Linked DNA regions of Xenopus tropicalis. The protein of the gene in region 1 purifies or fractionates together with the protein of each later gene. This does not show direct contact. Links are inferred from orthologs where the notes say so. Each region holds a gene or a part of one and is shown on either strand. Other genes may lie near its edges.

What was found. Proteins that work in one complex are often made in the same cells at the same time.
Region 2: the proteins of smc1a (region 1) and nipbl purify together in Homo sapiens (affinity purification with mass spectrometry; 3 studies listed by BioGRID and IntAct, with this or other methods). This does not show direct contact. The link is inferred for Xenopus tropicalis from reciprocal best matches to the Homo sapiens genes SMC1A and NIPBL.
Region 3: the proteins of smc1a (region 1) and usp13 purify together in Homo sapiens (affinity purification with mass spectrometry; 5 studies listed by BioGRID and IntAct, with this or other methods). This does not show direct contact. The link is inferred for Xenopus tropicalis from reciprocal best matches to the Homo sapiens genes SMC1A and USP13.

The regions. Positions count from the first base shown.
Region 1 is NC_030684.2:23,832,207-23,836,606, reverse strand, and holds part of smc1a (structural maintenance of chromosomes protein 1A), read right to left. Parts: intron 4,306-4,400; coding exon 4,193-4,305; intron 4,053-4,192; coding exon 3,849-4,052; intron 3,739-3,848; coding exon 3,500-3,738; intron 3,000-3,499; coding exon 2,741-2,999; intron 2,659-2,740; coding exon 2,518-2,658; intron 2,408-2,517; coding exon 2,325-2,407; intron 2,225-2,324; coding exon 2,017-2,224; intron 1,907-2,016; coding exon 1,721-1,906; intron 1,562-1,720; coding exon 1,382-1,561; intron 1,216-1,381; coding exon 1,069-1,215; intron 920-1,068; coding exon 782-919; intron 471-781; coding exon 354-470; intron 1-353. UniProt on the Homo sapiens protein: Involved in chromosome cohesion during cell cycle and in DNA repair. Central component of cohesin complex. The cohesin complex is required for the cohesion of sister chromatids after DNA replication.
Region 2 is NC_030677.2:197,857,602-197,861,095, forward strand, and holds the end of nipbl (nipped-B-like protein), read right to left. Parts: intron 2,922-3,494; coding exon of another isoform or gene 2,880-2,921; exon of another isoform or gene 2,861-2,879; intron 2,503-2,860; coding exon 2,140-2,502; 3' UTR 979-2,139; downstream 1-978. UniProt on the Homo sapiens protein: Plays an important role in the loading of the cohesin complex on to DNA. Forms a heterodimeric complex (also known as cohesin loading complex) with MAU2/SCC4 which mediates the loading of the cohesin complex onto chromatin.
Region 3 is NC_030681.2:108,726,947-108,731,346, forward strand, and holds part of usp13 (ubiquitin carboxyl-terminal hydrolase 13), read right to left. Parts: intron 4,344-4,400; coding exon 4,283-4,343; intron 3,110-4,282; coding exon 2,988-3,109; intron 1,528-2,987; coding exon 1,385-1,527; intron 1,177-1,384; coding exon 977-1,176; intron 1-976. UniProt on the Homo sapiens protein: Deubiquitinase that mediates deubiquitination of target proteins such as BECN1, MITF, SKP2 and USP10 and is involved in various processes such as autophagy, endoplasmic reticulum-associated degradation (ERAD), cell cycle progression or DNA damage response.

The DNA.
Region 1 (4,400 bases):
ATTGGATGACTTTACAACCCCTTTAAATACCAATATCAGATAGGTTGTGCAAGCAGCCATCTTTAGAAGGTCTGAGGTGATGAGTACGTATAGCAGCAGTTAAGGGAGGGAATGATGCCTCTTGTGCTGTTCAACCTAACGTAAGCAAGTGTGTATTGGGTCCTTGTAGGACTAACAAATGCTACCAATATTCTGACAACTAAAAGCAAGCAAGCAGTTCTTATTCCCAACCACTCAAACAGGTGAACAAAAATATAAATAAACAATAAAACACAGTAAATAAAAAAAAACTTTGAGTAAGTGTAATTTTGTGAAGGAGTTACATTTCCTTTAAGGTTCACACTGCTCCTTACCTGATTCATTTTCTCCTTCAGATCTTTCATTTCCCGTTCTCTGCTCTGAATTATCCGCTTAATATCATTGATACGAGGGCTAAAATTGGCCAGTTCACTCTCCAACTTGGATTTTTCCTGTTAGGGAGAGGAAAGAAATAAATAGATTGGGAAATCTCAGACACTATGACCAGGGGATCTCCTGCTGGGCCTCATCTAATTCAGACAATTCCCATCAGCCCATTTTCTTTTTATATATGACATCTATTACATTTACCACTGTCTAGAGGTAATAGTTATCACTGTGGACCCTCGATGTTGGATTTTAATACATGCTTGTGAACAACCAAGATCACTGTGCCCACAAGACAACTGCTGACAAATGCATAGAATATAATAGAACATATATGGACAGCAAAATAAGTTTTTTTGCAAATCTGGCTACTTACCTGCAAGTTCATAGCCAAATGCCGGGTTTTGGTTTGTTCCAGATCACTCTGGGAGTATTTCAGCCTCATCTGTAGACCATGGGCTTGGGACTGCACCTGTCTCAGTTCAGCCTCTTTGCGTTTGGCTTTCATTTGCTCCTATAAGAGATAAGCCCTTGTCTGTGAGACTCTCTTTGTTTGAGCCATGTAACCAAGATTTTTAGCTCCTTAGGTAAAAACGTGACTGGTACCTCCACAAGCTTTCTAAAATACTTAATTGGCGTGTCTTTCTTCTGATTAAGTCTCACCTTTAGTTCCTCTGTTAAGCGCTCCTTTTTCTCCTTGAGTTTATCCACTGCTTTCTCATCCCACCTCCTGGCCTTGGCTTTTAAGTCACTGGCACCTCCAGAGATCACACCAGACTTCTGGAATAAGGTTCCATCCAGGGCCACTGTCTGCAGAGCAAGAAGATACAGTGTTTTAGTTAAAATGTACCACATTATTCAGAGCCTGCTAAGATCATATAATACTAGAAATTCAGCTAACATCTCAGGCATCAAATAAAGAAATGGTTATTGCTTAAAATTCAATTCACTCTGCTCAGAGTTGCCTAATATTCACCTTATGCCTTTGATGTCCTCCAAAAGCAATCCTGCGTGCATCCTCTACATTGTCACAGACCAGGGCATTACCACAGGCATATTGTAGAGCTTTCTTGATATGCGGAGGCTCATATCGGATAACATCTATCACCAGTTTGGCTCCTTTCAGCTCCCTTAGCTTCTCATCTGTGGGTTTCACCTGGAAGTAAGTAAAAGACAATCAGCTGTTATCAGTGTTAAGATGCAGGTATAAAGTACCCAAACAGCATCACATTAACAGTAAGAATAAAACTTATCTATTCTTGGTCTACATAGCCAACATTCATTCAACAATAATAAGATAAAGTAAAATGGCAACCTCCAAATAATCAAGAGGAAGGAAGGTTTCGGGTTCTCCACGCTGCTCTTTGATGTACTGGATGCAGTCTCTTCCTGTCTTCTCTGAATCAACAATGATAGCATCCATATTCTTTCCAAGCACCTTGGTGACTGCAATCTGGTACTTCTTCTGGGTGGGCTGGCAAAGGTCAATCAGTCGACCATACTGAGGAATAGAAAAGGGATAAATTAATGCTTCCATTGTCCATGATCAACTGAGTGTCAATATGTAGAGGGGACAGATGCCTTTTGAAAATTCCAAATAATCAAACTTACCACAGATCCAGGATACAGTCGCTTTATGCTCTCCATAATCTCAGCTTTCCGCTGCTGTCGGCTACTCTCTTGCCTGTCAATCCTAGCATCTCCCAACTGCTCCATCACCTGATTCAGCTCACTGTTAATCTCATCAATCCTTCGCTTGGCCAGCTCCACCTCTTCAGTTAAGGTCTCCTCCAGGTTCTTCTGTTCTTCCAGTGACTGCCTGTAAGAAATAATATGACAAAGGTGATTATGTGTAGCTATGTTGTCCCTTACCAGTCCTAAAGATTGTGGAAGACTACAAACAAACAACCATCACATACTTGCTGGTGGCAATGTACTCCTCGAGTTTCTCAATTCTCTTCTGGTTCTCTTCTATCTCACGCAATTTCTGTTTAATTTTAGCCTAGAGAAGGAGCATATTCCATTCAGTGACTATTTCCTACTCCCAAGAACTAGAAAATTGGCATTCATATTTTAAAACACAATGGTTAAAAAGTCATCACTGGCACAAACCTCTGTCTCCACTTTTTTCCTCTCCTCCAGATCAAGTCGATCTTGGTCAGCCTTCTGGTCCCTGTTAAACTTCTCAAGCTCTTGGGCTAAAGTGGCTGCTCTCTTACTGGCCTCTTCCTTTAGGCGATGATATTTCTTGACCTAACAAGATCATTTTTGTTTCTCAAAAATCAGTGCTCCCTTAAACATAAGTCAAGCTGAACAGCACGCAAGAAGACCTTACCTGATTTTCTTCCAGTGTAAGATCCCGTCCTTGACTCTGACTTTCCTCCTCCATCCGTTCTTCAAACTCCTGCCGAGCCTTCTCTACAGAAAGCATTTCCTTCTCCAGTTCATCCATATCTGCTTTACGCTTCTTGTACTGCTTTTGGGCATTCTGAAGGGATTTTTTGGCTGCCTCCAACTTTTTGATTTTGTGGGAAGTGTTTTCCTTGGCCTTAATATACTGAGGACGTTTCTGATTCAGTTCCGCATCTTTCTCTCTTCGCAAAACCAAACAGAAGCAAGATGTTAAAATAATCCACAAGTGTAAACACTTAAACCATACATGGGAATACACTGTAGAGAGGCATCAAACGCAATCTGTTTTAAAGATCAATCAAAACACTGTTTACAAATATATGGGTAATTAATTTTTTACTTAAATGTAAGCAAAGAGGTTCTAAACACACACATACAAGTATTGTATATTTCACAAGGATGCTCCTCTGGGCACACACTAATCTATTTTTATTGGCTACTGAGGGTACTAGCAGTTTTGGTAAAAGACTTATTGGTGTTTTTTTTTTTTCTTCAAACTTTTCAGTTTCTGCCTGTAAAGTCATCTAGGCTGACTGTACAGAGAGCAGAGTAGATTGCACACTGGTGAAGACTGTTCTCCCTGGCCTAAAGAATACTAATGATAAAGTTTTCAATTGCATTAGGTGCTTGAAAAAGTATGACATATCTCCCTGCATACATGTGCCTTAACAGTGGTTCTCACTTGATCTCTTTCTCAATGGCCTGCTGCTCTCTCATCATCTTCCCCAAGTCTTTCTTCTTGTCCTTGAGTTCTTCCTCCACCTTATCCATATGCTTCTTGTCCTTCTCTATCCCCTTGTTCTTAACACTCAGATCTTTGTTTAGCTTTTCGATCTCAGATTCATTATGGTAGAGTTTAAACAGTTGCAGCTGAACTTGTGCTCGAGCCACCTCATCTTTCAATCGCTGGTACCGTTCCGCCTGCATGGAGAACACGAAGCTCATAGCGCAATTTGCCAACTCAAAACCAAACTGTAGGGATTGTCATGAAGCAAACTTTTACACCACGTGGCGTGACATTGCAAACAAACCTCTTCTTTTTCCTGCTTGGCCTCCTTCCTCTCAGCAGCGATGTTTTTCTTGCGGTGATAATTAAACTGTGTGTCTTCTTCAGCCTTCACCATCTCCTTCTTGCGCTTATCATACTCCTGTGCCAGCTCTCCTGACCGACTGATCTCTTCAAACAGGGCCGTACGCTCTTTGGGGTTCTTCATGGCAATGGACTCGACCGCCCCCTACAAAGGACAAAAACGTTTTGTATCAAACCTTACCCAATAAACAGTGGAAATAGACAGGTGAAGAAGACATATAGGTAGCAAGATGAAACAATCCCTAATGTCATGTGAATTAAAAGGCATTGCGTGAATTGATTTACCTGGAACACCAGGAAGTTCCGAGCCTTAATCAGGATTCCCAGCTTTTCCAGTTCATCGCTGTACTCCGATAACTGAACTACCTTGTTGTTGATTTTATACTCTGAAGACCCACCTAAAGGAGGCATGCACAGGTTTAACAAGAACACTGTTGCTATTGGGGAAAAAATAGTGTATCTGTAAAAATTTAAGGGTCAATCCTGGGACAGC
Region 2 (3,494 bases), on another chromosome or scaffold:
CTCTGACCGCTGCATTGCTAAAAATGCTCCCATGCCCCACCTAATGGTAAATATGAGAATAGCACTCAGTAGTAAAAGACCCAAGTCTAACCAAGACTCCTCCAGTTACATGGGAGTAGGAGAAACAATAGGTTAGCTGAAAGCAGTTCTAATGTGTAGCGCTGGCTCCTTCTGAAAGCTCAGACTCAGGCACACTTTACTGCTGCGCTGCTGTTGGAGTGATATCCCCCCCTCCCAGCAGCTGATCAGCAGAACAATGGGAAGGGAGCAAGATAGCAGCTCCCAGTAGGTATCAGAATAGCACTCAATAGTAAGAAATCCAAGTCCGGCTTGGGACTCCTCCAGTTACATGGGAGTAGGAGAAACAATAGGTTAGCTGAAAGCAGTTCTAATGTGTAGCGCTGGCTGAAAGCTCAGACTCAGGCACAATGCACTGAGATGGCGCCTACACACCAATATTACAGCTACAAATACATGTGTTGGTTCAAGAATACAATTTTAAATAGCCGAGTGAATTATTTGCAATGTATACAGTGTCATTTAGGATCCCTTTAATAATCAGACTTGGAAGTTACCTCCTGTCTTCAGCCGTTTCTTATATGACCCACTTACCTTTTTTTACAAGGCACCAGCATAGCAACCACTCTTTGCAAAGAACTGTAAGTTATGGGCTGTTAGCATGGCAACAAGAACATTGGCTATGGTCTTATCGATAAGGAAATAATGCCTACGGTGTGTGTTCTTCCCCCTCACCAGACATATTATAGCTTTTCTAACACAAATTTTTGCTATACACACAGTTCAAGGCCACCATTGGTACGTTATGGTGAACAGCCCAAAAAAACAAGAGAACTGAAAATAAGAAATTAAACTCAGATCGTTGAGTCTTCAATTTGCAAAATTCACAAGCAAAACAGAATAAACGTTGGAGCGAACCATTCTGAAGAGCAGAGTAAAGAAATCCAAACATACAAGGAATAAACTATAGTTTCTTTTTATATCAAACATTCTTGAAAATGTGTTTGGCACAGTGCTAAATCATATGGTTAACACTAAATATTTCAAGGATACAATAAAATCGGGAGTTAAATCGTGTCTATACCCTTTCATAGGGGTGAAAATAAAGATAGCAGTTATTTCCAAGTCAGCCTATACAAACCGTATAAACAATATTTATGCCTTAAGTTGAAAACGACTGATAGGAAACTTTTGTTTGTTTGTTTATCTTTACATAAAAGACTGCAAAATAATATAATCCAATTCAAAACAGCTTTACATCAAGAAAGTTGAATGGAAACAGACAAGTAACAAAGAAGTAAAAAAAATTTATTGCAGTATTATCTCCGCCAGGTCGTCTGGGGGGGATCCCTTTTTGTGTTTGTCTCGTGTTATTTTTCAGGGTGACCTAATACATCAAAATCTACATTTACAAAAAAAAAAAAAAAAAGAAAAAACAAAAATAACAAACACCCTCCTCCTGCAGATAGGCCGTAGATACTGCATGCTTTTTTTTGTTTTGTTTCTTTTAAACAGAATAAATTATATATATCCAGAGCATTCTGCCACTTTACAGCCGGGGATTAAAAAAATAAAATGAAAGAAAATAAAAAGTAAAAGAGTAAAAGGGAAATGAGTGCTCCCCTGGAGCCCGGGCTAAGCTAAAGAAAGCCATCCGCTGCTAGGTTATTAAACTCCAAGAACACTTTATTAAGAACATTAACAGACTAATTTTCAACATTCACTTGTTTATTTTTTCGTTGTTTTTTTTTTTGTTTTTTTTTGCGTTTGTCTTTTTTTTAAACAGAAAGTATTCTTCAAGATATAAACAATTTTTGTTAAACTATAATACAGTGGGAGTAAAAATGAACTGAGACGGTTTCTGCTGTACAACAGCGAAGGAAGCTCCCACACAATGTTTACCAAACATTTCCTTCTGACGGCCAAGTTCCCGTTTTGCTTTGTTGGTTTTTTTTGTTTACGTTGCGATAAAACTGATCACCTTTTTGTGTGTGTGTTTAGGGGTTTTTGTAGTTTTTTTTTTAATTAATTTTTGCCAGAATGCAGGTTTTTGTTTTTTTTTTTCAAGTTTGTGTGTGTTTCTGGATTCCTGTAAATTTTGGCTGCAAATATACAAATTCATTAGCTGGAAGTCCCGTCCTTGGCTGCATACAGCGATCGTAAAGTCTGAACAACTTTATTAGTCAGCTTATTAGCGCTCGTCAGAGCAATTTTTTTGTAAATAATGTCTGACTCTTTGATAGTGTCTACCCAAGGCACCAGTTTTCTGCCGTCCCGGCGTTTGGCTTCGGCCCAGGTGCCACTGTAGGAGCCTGCCATCCATTGAACACTGAAGCCATGGCTGGTTTTCTGCACTACTTTTGCAATCTGTGGCCGATCCTTGTACTTTGGACAACAAATTGCAATAACATCTTGGACATCTACAGTTTCGTTCATCTGCGCTGCCACATCCGAAGAATCTGATAATCTTTTTGATTTTCTTAGCTTTACGGCCCAACGTCGACACGGAGAAAAGAGGAGAAGGAAAGGAAGAAAAAAAAAAACAGGACTTAACATATAGGAATGGATGTGAATGTTACACATCAAAGATTTATAACCCCAGGCACCGTGGTATGAATTTCCCAGCACACCCCCACTCCAATCCATGGGATGCATTAAAACCACCAGTGCCTAGGAAGTGTCAGGTCTTTAACGTGTACCACTGACTTTTACTGCTACGGAATGCAAAATTCAAAGTTTGTATTTTTTTATATATATGTATATATTTTTTTTTAATATATGTTACAAAATTATAGCAAGAAAATAGGGATAGAATAGAAGAGGAAATCTAAATTAAAATTACCTTTTACTTTGGATAAATCTCAATTTCTACGTTTTTTTTTGCCTTTTCCGCTAAACCCTTTCTACAAAAAAAGATGTATAAATGGTTAAGTCTAGCTACAAAATGGCTTCTTACCCCCACAGCAAAAATTATATGATAAAAAGAAAAACCCTGACGTAGAAGACCACAGCACAGGGACCAAACAACCATAAACCACCTCTCATCCCTTATTAAAAACACAAGCACAGGTAATCGATGGGGAATTCATTCAGGGGAAGAATAAAACCATTATATTTCCAGCTGAAGGAAAAGCAAAGTCTGCTGCTCTCGAGCAATTCCCCTGCAGCACCCATCATTCCCACCAACCAACTCAAAGGACGATGGAGGTGCAGCAAATGAGATACCGGAGAGCCGCAGGTTACCTATCCCTCGAGAAAAAAATTCCAGTAAAAGTTGGCACTTTATTAAACATTTACATTGTAAAAGTATAGGAAAGTTGACTTTAAGTGATTTTGAATGTTAGTATTTGTTCTTATAGATTTCATTATGGGAGGGAAGAGCAGAGCAATTAAACACTTCAAATCAGTAAGTAATGGGAATGCCAAAGAATGCAGCTACAATGTACAGGCGTTTGCTTATGGGAAGCAGACCAAAT
Region 3 (4,400 bases), on another chromosome or scaffold:
AGAGAAAAGGGAAAACCAATCGGCCAGATCTCGATCGGGCAGGTTTAAAAATCTAGTCGGATCGGGGACCGCATCGGCTCGTTGTTGCGGTCCCCGGACCGACTTTTCCTATGCCCGACATTATAATTTGATCGTTTGGCCCCAGGGCCAAACTATCGAATTAGCCTGGATTCTCCTGATATCGCCCACCCGTAGGTGGGGGATATCGAGAGAAGATACGCTCGCTTGGCGACATCGCCAAGCGGATCTTAAGGTGTATGGGCACCTTAAGACATTCTGTAACATTAACAATTTACATTAACAATTAACTAAGAATGGAGAACTGAATAGTACAATTTACTCTGCAAGATCATGCAAATATTAAATTGGCTAAACAGTAGAAAAAAAGTAGAAACCAAAGTAGAAAATTTGAATGTAAATTTTCTCAATAATGTTGCTGCACTGTTTACTTTTAAAGGACAATGTCATTTTAAAGATAAAGCATTTTTCTAAAGCGGTTTGTCGAGTTCTTGTCAGTAATTAATGCTTCAATCTATGGGTTATTTATGGGCTAATTATGCAGAGAGACCATAATAGCAAATGACATGACATGGGGTCTGAAGAAATAGGAGGTAGAATTTAAGCCTGAGACCCTAGTGTAAGATCAAGTGTCAACAGTAGATCTGGAATGTAAAGCAGATAAAGACTGATGTTTCTGTTATTTTTCAATATTTTGGGCCCTGCGCTGCAGAGAGATTTAGTTTGTTGCAATTCATAAGCATTTGATATTGAAATATTTATTAGGGCTCTTATACAATATGGCCCTGTCCCTCCCACCTACTCTAAATGTGCTAAAGGTCAAGGTAACAGTGCTAGAGGTCAGGTTACCCTAAACAGGCAGAATGTAAGCTGCTGTTACCCAGGTAATGAATAATCCAAGAATGAAAAGAATATATTGCAACTAATAACAGATGTTGTCCCAGAATCATTTTCTCACCTGCCCCATCTGGAGTGATACTTCCTAGTCTTACTGCCAAAGGGTAGCCCATTTGCTTATGGTGTTCAAGAGCGTGTCCGTTCCCACCACTGCCTGAACAAAACCACCTTCCACACATAATGGAGCCATCTGTCAAGTTCAACCACAGGTTCTCTTGGAGATCACACTTGGAGCACTTCCAGCCACTGAGAAACAGGCTACTTAATTAACAAGTTCAAAAATTTGGTAAACACTTTTCATACAACATAGCACTAGTAAATCTGCGGACACTGCCAGACTTAATATTTTATATAGCAAAACTTTATACAAATGTTTAGAGCAATATTTAGGGCAAAATGTTTGCACTATACAGCTAAAAAAAGGGCTAAGAATGACAGTTTCCACTCCTTGCTACTTCATGACAGTTACCTTGGTGGAATCTTCACACCATTATCTATTTGCACAAGGTTGTTTGCAAACTTTGAAACCTGGAGTTCTTCTTCCCATGATTCTTGGTCAAGCTTTCTATATGGAGACTTTGAATTGAGGACTGCATCACAGGCTATTGTTACCTGCAAACAAAGTGGGTTAAACCTTCAAACACTTTTGCATCAAAGCAGATAGAAGGATGGTACATAAAAAGGATTTCTCACATTAAACTCTATGGGAGGTGGAAAGGGACAATTCATAGCTCCTTGACAACACACTAAAAAATAAAGCAGATAAAACACACAAAATTTGCCCCATTTTATATAAGCCTCATAACCCACAAAACAATTTGACTTCCGATTAAAAGTGGAGGTGCACTGTCATCTGCTTTTAGCATCATCTCTTATGGCAGGCAGTAAATGTGATTCTGGCTGTTTTGACTGTATATGAGTTTAGGATTTAAGCACCAACACATTTGGGGTTGAGATACAGGTTTCTGCCCCCTAATGACAGACACATTCAGTTACATGACACAGACTGCACAGCCACTTTCAGGCCCCACTTCTTCAGATGAAAAACCACAAAGGGGAATGAGTCAAAGGTCCATTGCACATTGGTCTTAAAAGATTATTTTTTTAAAGCATTAATGTGTGATAATTAATAGGTAAAATGCTATTCATGATGCGTGCAGTAATCATATGATAATGGTAGATGGGATATCTTTGGCTGTCATTTTTTGTAGCTCAGGAAGTAATGCCATGGAAAATAATGTATATAAGTCTAGGTTATGGTTGCCTCCCAGGACACTAAAGATCACAGGCACTAAACTGATGCATTTACCATTGACCTAAGGCTGATGCCACGCGGGGCTGATTCTCGGCCTGCGTTAGCCTCTTACCTTGCCTGCACCCGAAAGCATTGTGTCCACCTGGGTACAGGCAGAAGCAGCAAATATTGGCTCTGAGATGTAAACTCTCAGCAAGTCTACCGCAGCCCCATGTGACATCAGTCTAGTACTTCTAAACCCTTAACACACAAGGTGTTTTGTCTGTCGCTGCCCTCAGGCAGAGAGAAGCAGCAGCAACCAAAATGCCCCTCTCAACCTAGTGCTTGGTTTCCACTTCCATCACTATTCTATGTCCATTCAAATGCACATGTGTCATTCACTAGTATAAGGAGCTGTAACAGGTGGAGAGGGGTGTTTTGTCAGCCACTGTTCTTAGCCTGAAGTCAGCTGTTCACAAAACACCCCATGTGCCAGAGGCCTAAACGTAAACAAGTATTTTAGTAACAGTAGAAGCAGTCATGCAGGCCTGCAATGCCCAATTTGCATAGCATGTAACAGATGAGCAGCTTAGAACACAATGCTGCTCCAAGTAATCTGACTGTTTGGCGTTACTTGCACTTCAAATGCAAAGGGTCTTCACACTTCACAGAGTAAATATGACATTTCCCATTTGTCAAGGGATTACCGTACACAAATCTATTTGCAGACCATAGATAAAAAAAAGGGACTAAAAAAAGTCCCAAAAAGGAAACTCATGAGATGCAAATATTGCTTGGTTTGTGTTCACACTGTACAATCCCACTCAAAGTCACTGACCAATGCGGGTAGCTCTTCTATATTAGGTAAGGCAATTTCAAAGTGATCTGGGAATATAACAAGTTTTGCTTCATCTTCGTATTCATAATCTTCAGTGTTCATCTCGGTGTTATTTTCTAGATCTGGAAAACACAGGGGTATTAAGCTCAGCAACATAAATATAAAACATAATTTATCTAAATCAATGCATGGAAATGAATAAAGAAAAGATTCTTCTTTTTGCACCAAGTCACCTAAAGTTTATATTTACAAAATAAATGGGAGAAGTCCATAAGTATTTGTCCCTGTGTTGCCTAGTCATAGATCTAATGTCCATAAGAACAAAGTACATATACCTTATTATTACCAGATATAGCAACAGAATATGGCTTGAAGCATTACTCAGAAAGAAGTGGTTTGTTATACAGTACTGAAAAGTGTGAAGATCCTACTCTATGGAAAAAAATAATCTTGCTGCTTGCCCAATACTACCAACATGAAATAGCTAAAAGTTCATGTACTAAGCAAACATGCTGCTTACCCATACATCTAAAATCAGTGCTTTACTAATATCTATAAAATCTCATTTCATCAATTCATTTAAAATCTAGGACTTCAAACAAAGTTGTTTCTACCTTACTGATAAATAAAAACCAAACACTGTTTAGACTGCACTGAATTGATGTGCCACATAATAAAATGGAACCCTCACTGATTGAAGTGAATTTGGTTGGAGGGAAACTAAATCAGATTAGTAAAATTCAGATTGTTAAAATTAATTTGGAGAATCATCTGAGCCCACAGATGAGTTAGGTTCAGAAGGAAATGGTTTCTGATGGAACAGAACAGCTGACCGACTTATAGGTGACAGTGCACTGGAAAAATAACAGAGGAGGTAGAAGAAAGGAGTGGTGCCTGACTGGACATGCCTGTTTCAGAATTAGATCAGTTACCAGCTGAAGAGTGAATCAAGCAGCTATAATTAGCTCTTAGTTAGGGAATGCTAATAGGGGCGCCAGATAAGAAAGGTTCCTCTTGTTTCTTTGCTGAGATTTTCCACTTTTTGACAAGGTTTGCCTTAACTAGGATTGTTGTGCCTGATAAATGTATATAGAAAACTATTTTAAGAAATAAGAATGGGAACATTATATAGAACGGAATAACACAGATAAGTATTACAGATAGTATAATCATATTAAAAAGTGCTTTGCAATTTTAAAACAAATTAAACCTGTGCTTATTTAGTATACTCCAGCTTTCAACAATTGTTATACATGTTTGTAATGAAGATAAATATAAAAAGCAGTTTACTTTACCTAAAAATAGTCTCCCATTTATTCTTTTTGGAAAGGCCCCGCCTGATGCGCCAGTTGCTTTCTAAAATGAAATAAATGAATTCTAGAAATGTTGCAATAAGCAGCCGCAAAATAGAAT